Linked DNA regions of Ovis aries. The protein of the gene in region 1 purifies or fractionates together with the protein of each later gene. This does not show direct contact. Links are inferred from orthologs where the notes say so. Each region holds a gene or a part of one and is shown in the gene's direction. Other genes may lie near its edges.

Evidence for each region.
Region 2: the proteins of TMEM43 (region 1) and ENDOD1 purify together in Homo sapiens (affinity purification with mass spectrometry; 3 studies listed by BioGRID and IntAct, with this or other methods). This does not show direct contact. The link is inferred for Ovis aries from reciprocal best matches to the Homo sapiens genes TMEM43 and ENDOD1.
Region 3: the proteins of TMEM43 (region 1) and BZW2 purify together in Homo sapiens (affinity purification with mass spectrometry; 3 studies listed by BioGRID and IntAct, counting the BioPlex papers as one, with this or other methods). This does not show direct contact. The link is inferred for Ovis aries from reciprocal best matches to the Homo sapiens genes TMEM43 and BZW2.

What each region holds. Positions count from the first base shown.
Region 1 is NC_056072.1:57,993,129-57,996,773, reverse strand, and holds part of TMEM43 (transmembrane protein 43), read left to right. Parts: intron 1-108; coding exon 109-178; intron 179-898; coding exon 899-969; intron 970-1,899; coding exon 1,900-2,021; intron 2,022-2,245; coding exon 2,246-2,320; intron 2,321-2,755; coding exon 2,756-2,857; intron 2,858-3,430; coding exon 3,431-3,548; intron 3,549-3,645. UniProt on the Homo sapiens protein: May have an important role in maintaining nuclear envelope structure by organizing protein complexes at the inner nuclear membrane. Required for retaining emerin at the inner nuclear membrane.
Region 2 is NC_056068.1:14,965,568-14,969,312, reverse strand, and holds the end of ENDOD1 (endonuclease domain-containing 1 protein), read left to right. Parts: coding exon 1-681; 3' UTR 682-3,616; downstream 3,617-3,745. UniProt on the Homo sapiens protein: May act as a DNase and a RNase. Plays a role in the modulation of innate immune signaling through the cGAS-STING pathway by interacting with RNF26.
Region 3 is NC_056057.1:26,115,021-26,118,765, forward strand, and holds the start of BZW2 (eIF5-mimic protein 1), read left to right. Parts: upstream 1-1,122; 5' UTR 1,123-1,240; intron 1,241-3,745. Other genes in the region: ANKMY2 (ankyrin repeat and MYND domain-containing protein 2), read right to left, coding at 448-514. UniProt on the Homo sapiens protein: Translation initiation regulator which represses non-AUG initiated translation and repeat-associated non-AUG (RAN) initiated translation by acting as a competitive inhibitor of eukaryotic translation initiation factor 5 (EIF5) function.

The sequences.
Region 1 (3,645 bases):
CCCTTTGGCCTGTGGGTGGTCCCAGGCTTGGATAAGAGGACGGGCGGCCGGCGGGCCTCAAACCTGAGGCTTACCGTGGTTTCCCCATGTTCCTTCTGCTCAAAACAGACACAGAATGGAGGTCGGAGATCGTCAACAGCAGAAACTTTGACCGAGAGATTGGCCACAAAAACCCCAGGTAAGAACCAGCCCCTGGCAGGTTCCTAGCCCCGCGTCCTCATCTGAGTAATGGGGCTGAGTTACTTCTGTCTCGCGGGCTGATGAAATGTGGGCTGGGGTTCGGAGGCCCACTCCTGCACCGTGAGCAGAGGCGGGGCCTGACGCCCCTGGCCCTAGGGCCTGGGTATGAGGCTGGGCCAAGTGCCCAGAGGGGTGGTCAGTGGTGGGTGTGGGGAGACCGTCCGCAGGGCTTTCAAGAGCGGCTGCATTTGACGCCCCTGTTCAGGGGTCCGGCAGAGGATGGTTAGCTCAGGGGCAGGGGTGAGGGTGTTGAGACGGGCGTGATGCTGGACAGGGCCTGTGTGGGCTGTGTGCTGTGATGACCTGGGCAAGGCCAAAAAGGGCCTTGAACGTTCCCAGTGAGGCTTGGATGCCGGCAGGAAGGGTCTGGAGGGGAGGGTGTGAAGTCCATGGCAGGGCCGTCTGACAGCTGCGGGGGCAGGGTGGGACAGGCTGGCAGGGGTCCAGGCAAGATTGTAAGAAGCTCTGGGCGATGGGAAGCCAGCGGAAGCTGCCCTTCCTCAGCAGGGGATGGGGTCAGGGGAAGACAGGACTGCAGAGCCGGGCTGGGCTGGGCTGGCAGGAGCCCCCTGGGTGCGGACCCTGCCGTACACCTCCCCTGGGACGGTGGCAGCTCCCCTGGTGCCCCACATCGCCAACAGCTCCCCCCTCTCCCCAGCGCGATGGCCGTGGAGTCGTTCACCGCAACAGCCCCCTTCGTCCAGATCGGCAGGTTTTTCCTCTCAGCGGGTGAGTCTCAGGCTGTTGGGTAAGCCACCGTGGACCCAGAACCCTGCACTTCCACCCGGTCGCCTCCCAGGAGCCGGGGCCCTGACTCAGTCCTTGGGTGGTTGAAGGGGTCTCCTGCGGCCCTGGGCAGGGGCCAGCCAGCACTTCTCCAGCGTCATATTTTTGGGCTGGGGCCAGAGGGCAGGTGTGTTCCCAGGAAGGGGCCCCTGTGTGGAACCCCCCGAAACCTGTTCAGGGAGCAGCTGCCAGGTGTGGGTCCTTGCCGGGCTGAGCAGGCGGGGCTGAGAGCCCCTCCTCAGGCAGCCCTGGAGGGCAGCCCACATAAGGCCCCGGGCTCCACTCCTGAGCCCCGCGGGCCCCCGGCCCTGAGCCAGACCCCGGAGGGCCTCCCACAGAGAGGGGCTTGCAGGGGACAGCATGGCTGTGAGACTGCCATCGAAACTCCTGGGGCTTGTCCCTGGCCAGACCTGGCGAGGGAGCGAGGACACCTAGGGTCAGCGCGTCGAGGGGCAGGGAAGAGATCGTGTGAGCAGGGCCTGGGCTGTCGGCCGTGTGCTCTGGCCCTCAGCTGGTGCCAGCCATGCCAGGCAGCCCGGCCTCGTGCTGCGGGGCGGCAGGGAGCCAGGCTGGGACGCAGGTGACTGGCCTGGGGAGCAGAGGCCACAGGGCTGAGGCCCTCCCGGGCGGCCGTCACTGCCTGACGGGGTTGGCTTCCTGGAGGCGCTGGAGGCTGAAGGGGCTGGCCCTGTGGACAGACGGAGCTGGAGCAGGGCCTCTGGGTGGGAGAGCAGGTGTCCAGAGGCCCCGGGGGATGCGCCGGCAGGCGACCCTGCAGCCGGGCTTGTGGGGCCAGCTGGGAAGGTGTCAGGCTGCGGGTTTGCAGGCGGGGCTGCAGCAGACACGCACTGTTCTTGACCACCCGCCTCCCAGGGCTCATCGACAAAGTGGACAACTTCAAGACGCTGAGCCTGTCTAAGCTGGAGGACCCGCATGTGGACATCATTCGCCGGGGGGACTATTTCTACCACAGTGAAAACCCCAAGTACCCCGAGGTACCCAGCGGGTTCAGGCGCTCGATGGCAGAGGTCGGGGCCCCTGAGTCCCGCCGCCGACAGCGCGCGCGAGTCCGAGCCGGCAAGGGTGGAGGGAGCGGCTGTCTGCGCAGTGGGGCTACCTGGGCGCGGGTGGGGGTGGTGTGACCCCCTCGTGGGCGGGTGGGCGCCCTGGGCCCCAGCTCGGACTCCTACCTCCCTCACGCGCCTCTCTTCCACCCCAGGTTGGGGATCTGCGCGTCTCCTTCTCCTACGCGGGGCTGAGCAGCGACGACCCTGACCTGGGCCCCGCTCACGTGGTAAGCGGCTCCCCAGGCGGACAAGGGGGGCCTCCCAGGTGCAGACACCTGGGCCCAGGTGTGTGCTTAGGGCATACCCCTCCCCGTCGTGTGTGCGTACATCCACGGGCCCCAGACGGGCAAGTGGCCCTGGAGGGTCTCAGCGCGGTGCCTGGAGAGGGTCTTCCAGCCCTGTGCAGGCGCTCTCCCTGGGCGCTGACCTCTGCTCTGTAAATGCTTGGTCCTGCGCTCCAGACTGTCACCCCCGCCCCGCCCCCGCCGGGTCCTCCCCAGGGCTGTGGAGGGAGCAGCCCAGCGGGAGCGCCTCCCCCAGGCCCACGTGGCGGCAGGGGCTGGGGCGGCCCGGGGCTCCCTGCTGCCTTGGTGCACAGTGAGGAGGGCAATGGCCCCACGGGCAGATGGCCCCACAGCTCTGAGCCAGAGGTCTCTGACCAGGTCACCGTGATTGCCCGGCAGCGAGGCGACCAGCTGGTCCCCTACGCCACCAAGTCGGGGGACACCCTGCTTCTCCTGCACCACGGGGACTTCTCGGCAGAGGTGAGCGGCCGCGGCGTGCCGCGTGGCGCACTGGTGCAGCTCCAGTGCTCTGGTCACCAGCCGCCCCCACGGAGGCAGAGCCAGGGCCGTGAGGCAAGAGAAGGCAATAGAGGGTGAGGTGTCCAGAGAGAGGGAGCGGTGAGCAAAGCAGAGAATCCCCCGGATGCCCAGAGGTGGCAGACGTGGTAACAGGAGCCTCCTTAGGCAGCGGGTGGCGAGCAACATCTTTGCTGAGTCCCAAGTGAAGAGCCGGGTGGGTCAGTCTTGTCGCAGCCCAGGGCCCCCGTTGCCAGGGCCAGGGCGCCGTGTGGCCCTGAGCACAGAGGGGCAGGCAGAGGCCCCTTCGAGCTGCGTGTGAGCTGGGGTGAAAGAGTGAGTTTTGCAGGACCAGGTGAGTGAGGGCAGGCACCCCCAGGGAGACCCGCGTACCCCCATCCTCAACATAGGGTCAGGCCTCACCCACGCCACGAGGACAGGGTACAGAGAGGGGCCTCTAGCCCAGCGCCTGCCGGCGGGGCGGCGTGAGACCCCTTGGTGGGCTGTGGCCACCTCCCCTCCCTGCTTGTCCTGCAGGAGGTGTTTCGTCGGGAACAGAAGAGCAACTCGCTGAAGACGTGGGGCCTGCGGGCGGCCGGCTGGGTGGCCATGTTCATGGGCCTCAACCTCATGACACGGATCCTCTACACACTGGGTAGGTGGGCAGATGGGGCCTCTTTGGCCCTCACCGCCCACTGGGTGCGCTCAGCCCCTGCTGTGACCTCAGGGCCTTGGGATGGGTGAGCCGGGGG
Region 2 (3,745 bases), on another chromosome or scaffold:
GACACAGAGAAGATGAAAAAAATCCTGGAGGTGGTTAACCAAGTCCAGGACGAGGAGCGGAGGCTGGACTCTGAGGGCGGCTCCGAGATGCTCTCCAGCGTGAGGGGAACCAGGTCTGCCCTGCCTCCTCCGGAGACATCTGGGGAAGGGAGTAGTCTTCTGGGAAGACTCCTGGGCTTTGTCGTTACCCCGTTGATCAAGCTCTGCCAGTTAATTTATTACCTTGCCTTTGGGATCCTGAAGTACACTGTGTATTTCCTCTGGTATGTCACCAAGCAGGTGATTAACGGTCTAGAAAGTTGCCTTTATCGCCTGGGGTCAGCCACCATCACCTACTTCTTGACCATCGGGGAGGAACTGGGCAGCATTCCCTGGAAGGTCCTCAAAGTCACGGTCAGGATCACCAGGGCCGTGCTCCGGATCCTTTGTTGCCTGCTGAAGGTGGTCTGCCGCGTCGTGGGTGTCCCTGTCCGGGTGCTTGTGGACGTGGCCACGTTCCCCGTGTACACCATAGGCGCAGTTCCGATTGTCTGCAGGGACATTGCCATGGGCCTTGGTGGCATCCTCTCTCTGCTCTTTGACACGGCTTTTGGCACCATGGGTGGTCTATTTCAGGTCATCTTTACTGTCTGCAAGCGGGTTGGCTACAAGATTACTTTTGACAATCCTGGGGAGTTATAGAAAAAAAAAATAATGAGTGCCCGGCCCCAGTGAATTTGATTTTTTTTATAATAGAGAAAGCTGGAATATTTTGTCTATACTATGGTTTTCTGTTCACTGTCAATTATATTTTGGCCTTTGGTGGGGGTGTCTGCCTGTTCCAACCTAACCCAAGAGACGTGTTCAGGGTGGGATTATGTGTAGGTTGCCTGTTGGGATGTGGGTGAACTTCCAAGCCGTCCCCTTCAGTTAGTCCCTCTGATACAGGAGACCTTGTGATATATGCTAGTGTTCATTTGTGATCAGTAAAAATTACAGAAGAAGAATCTGGAAGAGGACCACTTTAAACCAAACTGTCTCTGAGAAAAGTAGAAAGGAATTTATTCCTGCTATTACTCTCTGAGACTCAAGACAAAACTGATGTAAGTATTCCTGGCCAATTTGTTATCATTTTGCTTCTCTTTCTCCCCAGCTCAGCTGACTTGGTGAGGTACAGACCACTTCCTTGTTGAAACAGCTCTCTTAGGATATAGAATCTGTTATGTCCCTTAGCTTTCCATGACTCCCAAGGATCTGTAAGGTTGTTTTGTTTCTCCAAAGTTGAATTTTGCTGCATTTTTCCTTTGAGTTAATGGTAAGCATTATATGCAAATATGGCATAACAAATTCTGAATGCAAGGGCTAAGATTGTTTGCCCCTTGAACGCTACCCAGATATTAAAAAGGGAGTGCAAAGATCAGACCTCTGCTCTGAATAGGTGCCGTAGGTCTGAGGATATCCTTAACCAAGCTTGGATTAACAACATATATTAAATCTCTGGCTGAGAAGATACAAAAATTCATATTCTGCAAAATACTAGATCAGTCTTTCTTAAACTTCCAGCAAGTACCCAATAGAGTAAAATGTTCTGACTCTGTCCTTAAATGGTGGTTTTAGTATAAAGGTATAAAAAAATAGTCAGAAAATTATAACTCTTCTGGCCATCTTGGAAAAAAAATTCATAGACACATATATCTAAGTTTATATGTATATAGTCTTGATTCAGAATCATTATCTCAGGAAATTATTTTTATAGTGTGTTTGATGCTAGAAAACATAACTCTCCCATTAAAGCAAGTTATTTATGAGAGCTAATCTCCAATTTATTGATCAAGCACTTGTCATTTTAATTCTTGCACTGAAAAATGATAACAGGAAGAAGCTGAAGCTCCCAAACTTTGCTCTGCCTTCTAGCGCCGAGGGGGAATCATCTGGATTTTTCTGAGTGTTCTAAAGAGTTCCTGTGAGGTAGAGTAGGACCCAGTGTAAACTGCTGATTTGGGGGTGCAGGCCACCATGCATCTGAAAGTTTAGTGCAGAGACCTGGGTCCAGAAAGGCAACGAGGAGAGAAGGATGGGCGAACCATTGGCATCAAGTTGATGCCCAAGAAATGTGAGTGTGATGAGAGTTACTTTTTTTGCAGAAGAATAATGGAATTGGACCCGAAGTACCAGGGCAGCCGGCAAGCTGCCATCCTGACCAATTTCTTACGTGAGGTAGGATAGTGGGACACCAGACCATGAACCTGTCATAGGAAGTAATACACTAGATTATCTAAGACTCTTAGGCAGTATTTTACCAACACTTCTGCTGGTGACCGTAAAAATCTGTAGTCAGGCTTTCCTTCATTTCAGTAGCGTGAGGAGCCATGAAGGAGAAGAGTGTGCCTTTGTACTGATGGGTCAGGTAGAATCCTGGCAGATGAAAGTAAGGGAATTTCAGAGGGGACCAGAGAGATGGTCTGGCCAGAGACAAGCTCAGCCTGACCAAAGCCGCCTCTGATGAGAAAGCTGACGCCTGATGCCAACTGATGGTAGACCGGGAGCCAAGGTCTTCTGCTCGGGTCCTATCCGAGGTGACATCCCACACCTTGGATGTCAGATCTGTGCCTCCCTGGTCTAGGGCCAGTTTTTCTCCATCATCCATCGAACAAACTGGACTCTGATGAATTAAATGGGTTTGGCCCATGTGATGAGGCAACTAGCCGTCCATGCACACCAGTAAGCTTGCTGCCTCCCGTGGAATTAATGTCCCCTCAGAGTACCTATCTGCATACCGAAAGGCCCACGGGGGCCATCCATGGCAGCTTGAGCCCCTTGGCACCATGCAAGAAGCAGGGCATCTAAACTTTTCTCGAGAACCATTCAAAAATGTCTTCCTTTTCAGTTCTAGTTGTTTAGTGTCTTATTTATTTATTATGGTGTGGCCTTTTTTGAAATCTGGAAAGGGATAATAAAGGGAAAACGAATCCCCAAGGTTGGGTGGCTGAGAGCCTCCACTCTGGACTGTGGGTCTTTGTGCCTGTGGCTCACCAGCCCCAGAAGGTGGCCAGACCGCTGGCCCACCCCAGTGAGCCACGTTGGCCTTTGGGGTGGAAGTTTGAGTTGATGAGCCCCGTCTCTGGCTGGAAGGTTTTTCTGTGGCTCTGCTATGTTCTCAGGCCCTTGGAGAGGTCAGCCAGCTCTTCATCACTGCAGAGCTGACTTTCTAGTCTGGATCAGCCACGCCTGTGGACACTCCTCTGTTCCACTGTGCCTTGTGAGTGTTCACTTCAGCATCAGCACTTGCCCCTAAATGCAGACGAAGGGATCTGAAGAAGGAGCTAGAGCGAAACACTGGTCATTCATCCATCCAACGTGCATTTGAACATCTAAGTTGCAGAGACTGACAACACGTGCATCCCATCTTTGAGGAGTTCAGATATCTAGTGGGGAGGATGTGGTGAGCTGATCCATGGACCACATCGTGGTAAGCCTGCAATGGTACTAGCATCCCTGGAGCACAGCAGGAAAACCCACAAAACATGGACGTTGGGGAAGCCTTTATAAAGGATGTGATGAGTCAATCTGACATTTTCAAGCTATGTACAATGCTGTGCACCTTGCAATGCTCAATAAAATAACTGTTGACAACTCATCAGCTGTTCTGGAAAATATATAAAGGGGAGAATCTTGGAATGAGGTTTGGAGGGTTATCTTTGATTTTTTTTTTTCCATTTTCTTCTTGATTGACATTAACTCAAGCCATTTCCACTCCCATCTGGAT
Region 3 (3,745 bases), on another chromosome or scaffold:
ATCATTCGGCCTCCGGAAGTCGAAATGGCGCTGTAGACACCGGTGTAAGAGCCTGAAACTTTCCGGCCACTATCGCCCAGGTGGGCTGTGGTCAATTCACCTGAGGAGTTTTGAAGAATGCACATTCTGAGGCCCCACCCCCGGGTGGTTCTTTATTATCCGATGTGGAGCCCGGAAAGGTGCCACCTTCTAAAAGCTGATTCAGAGGACGAAAGTCTGCAACCTCCGCTCTCGTCCCAGCTGCGCTTCTCCCTCCCCACCTCTCCGCCCCCGCAACTCGTCCCAGACCAAAGGGAGGAGCGCTGTTTCCCGGTGGTAGGGTGTCAACCTCGTAAAACCGCAACCTGGGGTCAGCCGGGTCTGGGGCGCCGCCCGGGCTCCGCCACGCCCCTCCCTCCGCTCCCCAGCCAGGCAGGCAAAGCCCCCGTCGCAGCCCAGCACCCACACCTTTTCCGATGACTTCCAGCAGCTCCTTTTCCTCCTGGGTCAGCTCGCCTTTCTTTATGTGAACCATTGCTTCCGCCAGCTTGACGGCTATTCTGTGTCTTCGGGAGTACTAAAAAGAAACGACGTTTCTGTATTAGGAAAGCCAGCCGCAACGTTAGGCAACTTGCGACTAGGACACTAAGTAGCCAACCGCGGAAGCATTCGAATTCTCTCCTCCTTCCAGGAGCTGGCGAGCAGCGGGCGAGCTCGGGCGAGCCGGGCGGGCGGTCTCCGCAGGCCCAGCGGTCGTCCCCGCCCCCCGCGCCTCGTTGGCCCGGCAGGGAGGAGGAGCTGCAGGAGGCAGCGGCGAGGCTGTCCCATTGGAAGGGCCTGGGGAGGAAAAACCAAATGGAGAAAATCACTGGGGGGTAATTAAATGCTTCTTGCACGTTTCCCCCAAGCCACTCTTTCCGGTTCAGATATTTAAGGACACACAATAATTAAATTCTCTATCTGAAACTTCTGTGTTCAAAAATTTCTTCTTTGGGCATGCATCTCCCTAGTTCTCGCTATACACCCCCCCCTTTATTTCCCTGGAAGTGGAGCGGCCCGGGCCGGGGGCGGGCTGGGAGGCGGGGCGGCGTGGGAGGCGGGGCTGCGCCGAGCTCCGTGTGGATGTCAATGTGTCTGTCCTTCACTCCTCCATTGTCTGCCACCACCGCTGCCGCTTCTGCCACCGCCGCTGCCGGGATCGCCGCAGCCCCCAGCCTCGCGCGTCGCCGCTACCTCCTCGGACAGGTGAGAAGCAAACCAGGTAGGGCAGGGGAGAGCCGGGAAGCCTTAGACCACCGGAGCCAAAGCCCGACTGGGAGCTTCCCCTCCGGCCGAAGGTGGCCGGGAGGAAGCATGTGCCTGCTCGGGCTGCTTCCTGCCTCTCGGTGGGGAAGCCTCCCCTCCACCCCATTACCATCGCTTATACAGCGTATCGGTGCCCTAGAGTAAAGACCCACCACTCGCCACGTCTGGCCGCCCCGAGAGACCAAGAGCGGGCAGGGGCTGGCCACGCGGTGGGAAGTGGCGGGTGCCCAGCGTCTCGTGCGTGGCACCGCCAGATGCAACTCCGGAGGAAGCCAAGGTTGAGGCTCTCAACTACGGGTGGGGAGGAAAGGAGCTCCCCATTACAAGCGAGGTGAAAGCATGTGAGAATGTCTCTTCTGGCAACCTACCCCTCGCCCCCACTTGTCATCTCCTCCGGCCTCTCTGGAAGCTGTAGAAGAAAACCGGATCCGATCGCGCTGTGTGCCTGTAAAAGGTGTTTGGAAGCAATTTACACGTGCACTAATACTTGATTTAGGGGAGACAGTCAGGGGGAGGGGGGAGGAAGGGCCTCTTCACTCTGCTAGAGTTGCCAGTCTCTTTGTAACTCAGATCTTGAGATTTATGGAAATAGGGAGGGGAGGGGGAAGGGGCGGAGATTAAATTGGTGTTGCTGTCTATATATAGCATTAGATTAGCCTCTTAATCCAACCTTCATTCAACTGTAATATGTAACCTCAAGGTTTCACTATGGGAAGCTAGGGGATAAATACAAGTGTGCACCCTCCTGTGGCTCAGCCATAAGACTTGCTTGCTAATATGAAGTCAGTCATTCCTCCCGGGTGCTTATCCATAACATATTTACAGCATTGGTGAAAGCTGTTTAGAAATTAGTGTTTATGGTTTCTCTACAGTCTAGTATTAGTGTTTCTCCCAAGACCCTTCTGCTTCCAAGAGAATAATTTGAATGATTACGTAGATTTTTTTTGTTGTTGTTAAGCATCCCTCCTCACCACTCTTCCTCCCCTCTTGTGCCATATATGAAGTAAAATGTATTTTCCTCTGGCCTTACACCTTCATTTCTTGGAAGCATTCACTAACACTTCTGAAATCCTGGAAGATGTTCACCCTTATTTCCTGTCTTTAACAAAAAAAAAATTTTTTCCCCCCCTGAATCCCAGATGTTTTTTTTCTAAGGCTTCATCTCTGCAGGCTGGGGCAAATCTGAGCCAGAACATCTCACATGAAAATGGTCTGAAATTATTCAACTCAATGTATAACAAAGAAACTTTTGTTTAGGGATGCTTTAATAATGATGTGACTGTTCAAACAAGTAGTAAGGCTTTTGAGTGACCCATCTTTTGTAACACTTAGAATGCTGCTATTGCCACAGTTACAGCTGATTAAAAACACAGTCTCATGAAGGAGCAACCCACAAACCTAAGAAAATGCTTACAGAGTAACCTTTCCTTACCATGTGATTTAACATCCTATAAATCTGAAACTCCAGTACTTTGGCCACCTCATGTGTAGAGTTGACTCACTGGAAAAGACTTTGATGCTGGGAGGGGTTGGGGGCAGGAGGAGAAGGGGACGACAGAGGATGAGATGTCTGGATGGCATCACCGACTCAATGGACATGAGTTTGAGTGAACTCTGGGAGTTAGTGACGGACAGGGAGGCCTGGCGTGCTGCGATTCATGGGGTCGCAAAGAGTCGGACACGACTGAGTGACTGAACTGAACTGAAGGGATGTTACAGAATTGGGTGCTTCATTGCCAGAATTTCCATGTCTTCTGCCAAATTGGGGCCATGGTTACTTGAAGGTCACACCTGTTTGGCTCACTGAGGTTGTCAGTTTCTAAAGGATAGCAACTTATTACCTGTTTTCCTGATGCCTTGTTGATACTTAGTCCTCTGTGACTGCATTCATTCAGTAAATCTAGGCAGCTAGAAATAAAGCAGCTAATATCTGCCTTGAAATGCATGTAAGTAACATGTTAATTTTAAATTTCTAGATAATGTAATGGGTAGTATTTATCATATGGGTTACATTCATTGTTTTGTACAGTGTTAATATTGAATGTAGGAATCGGATCGGCTAATGAACATAACTTAGACTTGATCAAGGAACTTTTTTTGTATTAAGAATGTGTTCACATCAAAGAAGTTTTGTTGGTAATAAAATAGCTACTGCTTACTGGGTACTTAGTCAGCACCAGATAGTCCACCAGAAGCTTTGTATAGGATTAGTTTAATCATTGTTGTAATGACCCCAAAATAAGCCAATATTACCCCTGTTTCTGAAAATAAGAGGACAGAAACAAAAAGAAGTTAATTTGCCCACAGCCCTACAGTTAGGAAGTATCACAGCCCAAACTGGAACCTAGATCTGTCTCCAAAACCTTTTCTCTTTGCGTTTTTCTCTATCTACGTGGCTGGAAGTAAGGGGGAAAGTATATATTCTTTAGCTAATAGGTAACATGTTCATGTGGTTCAGTGA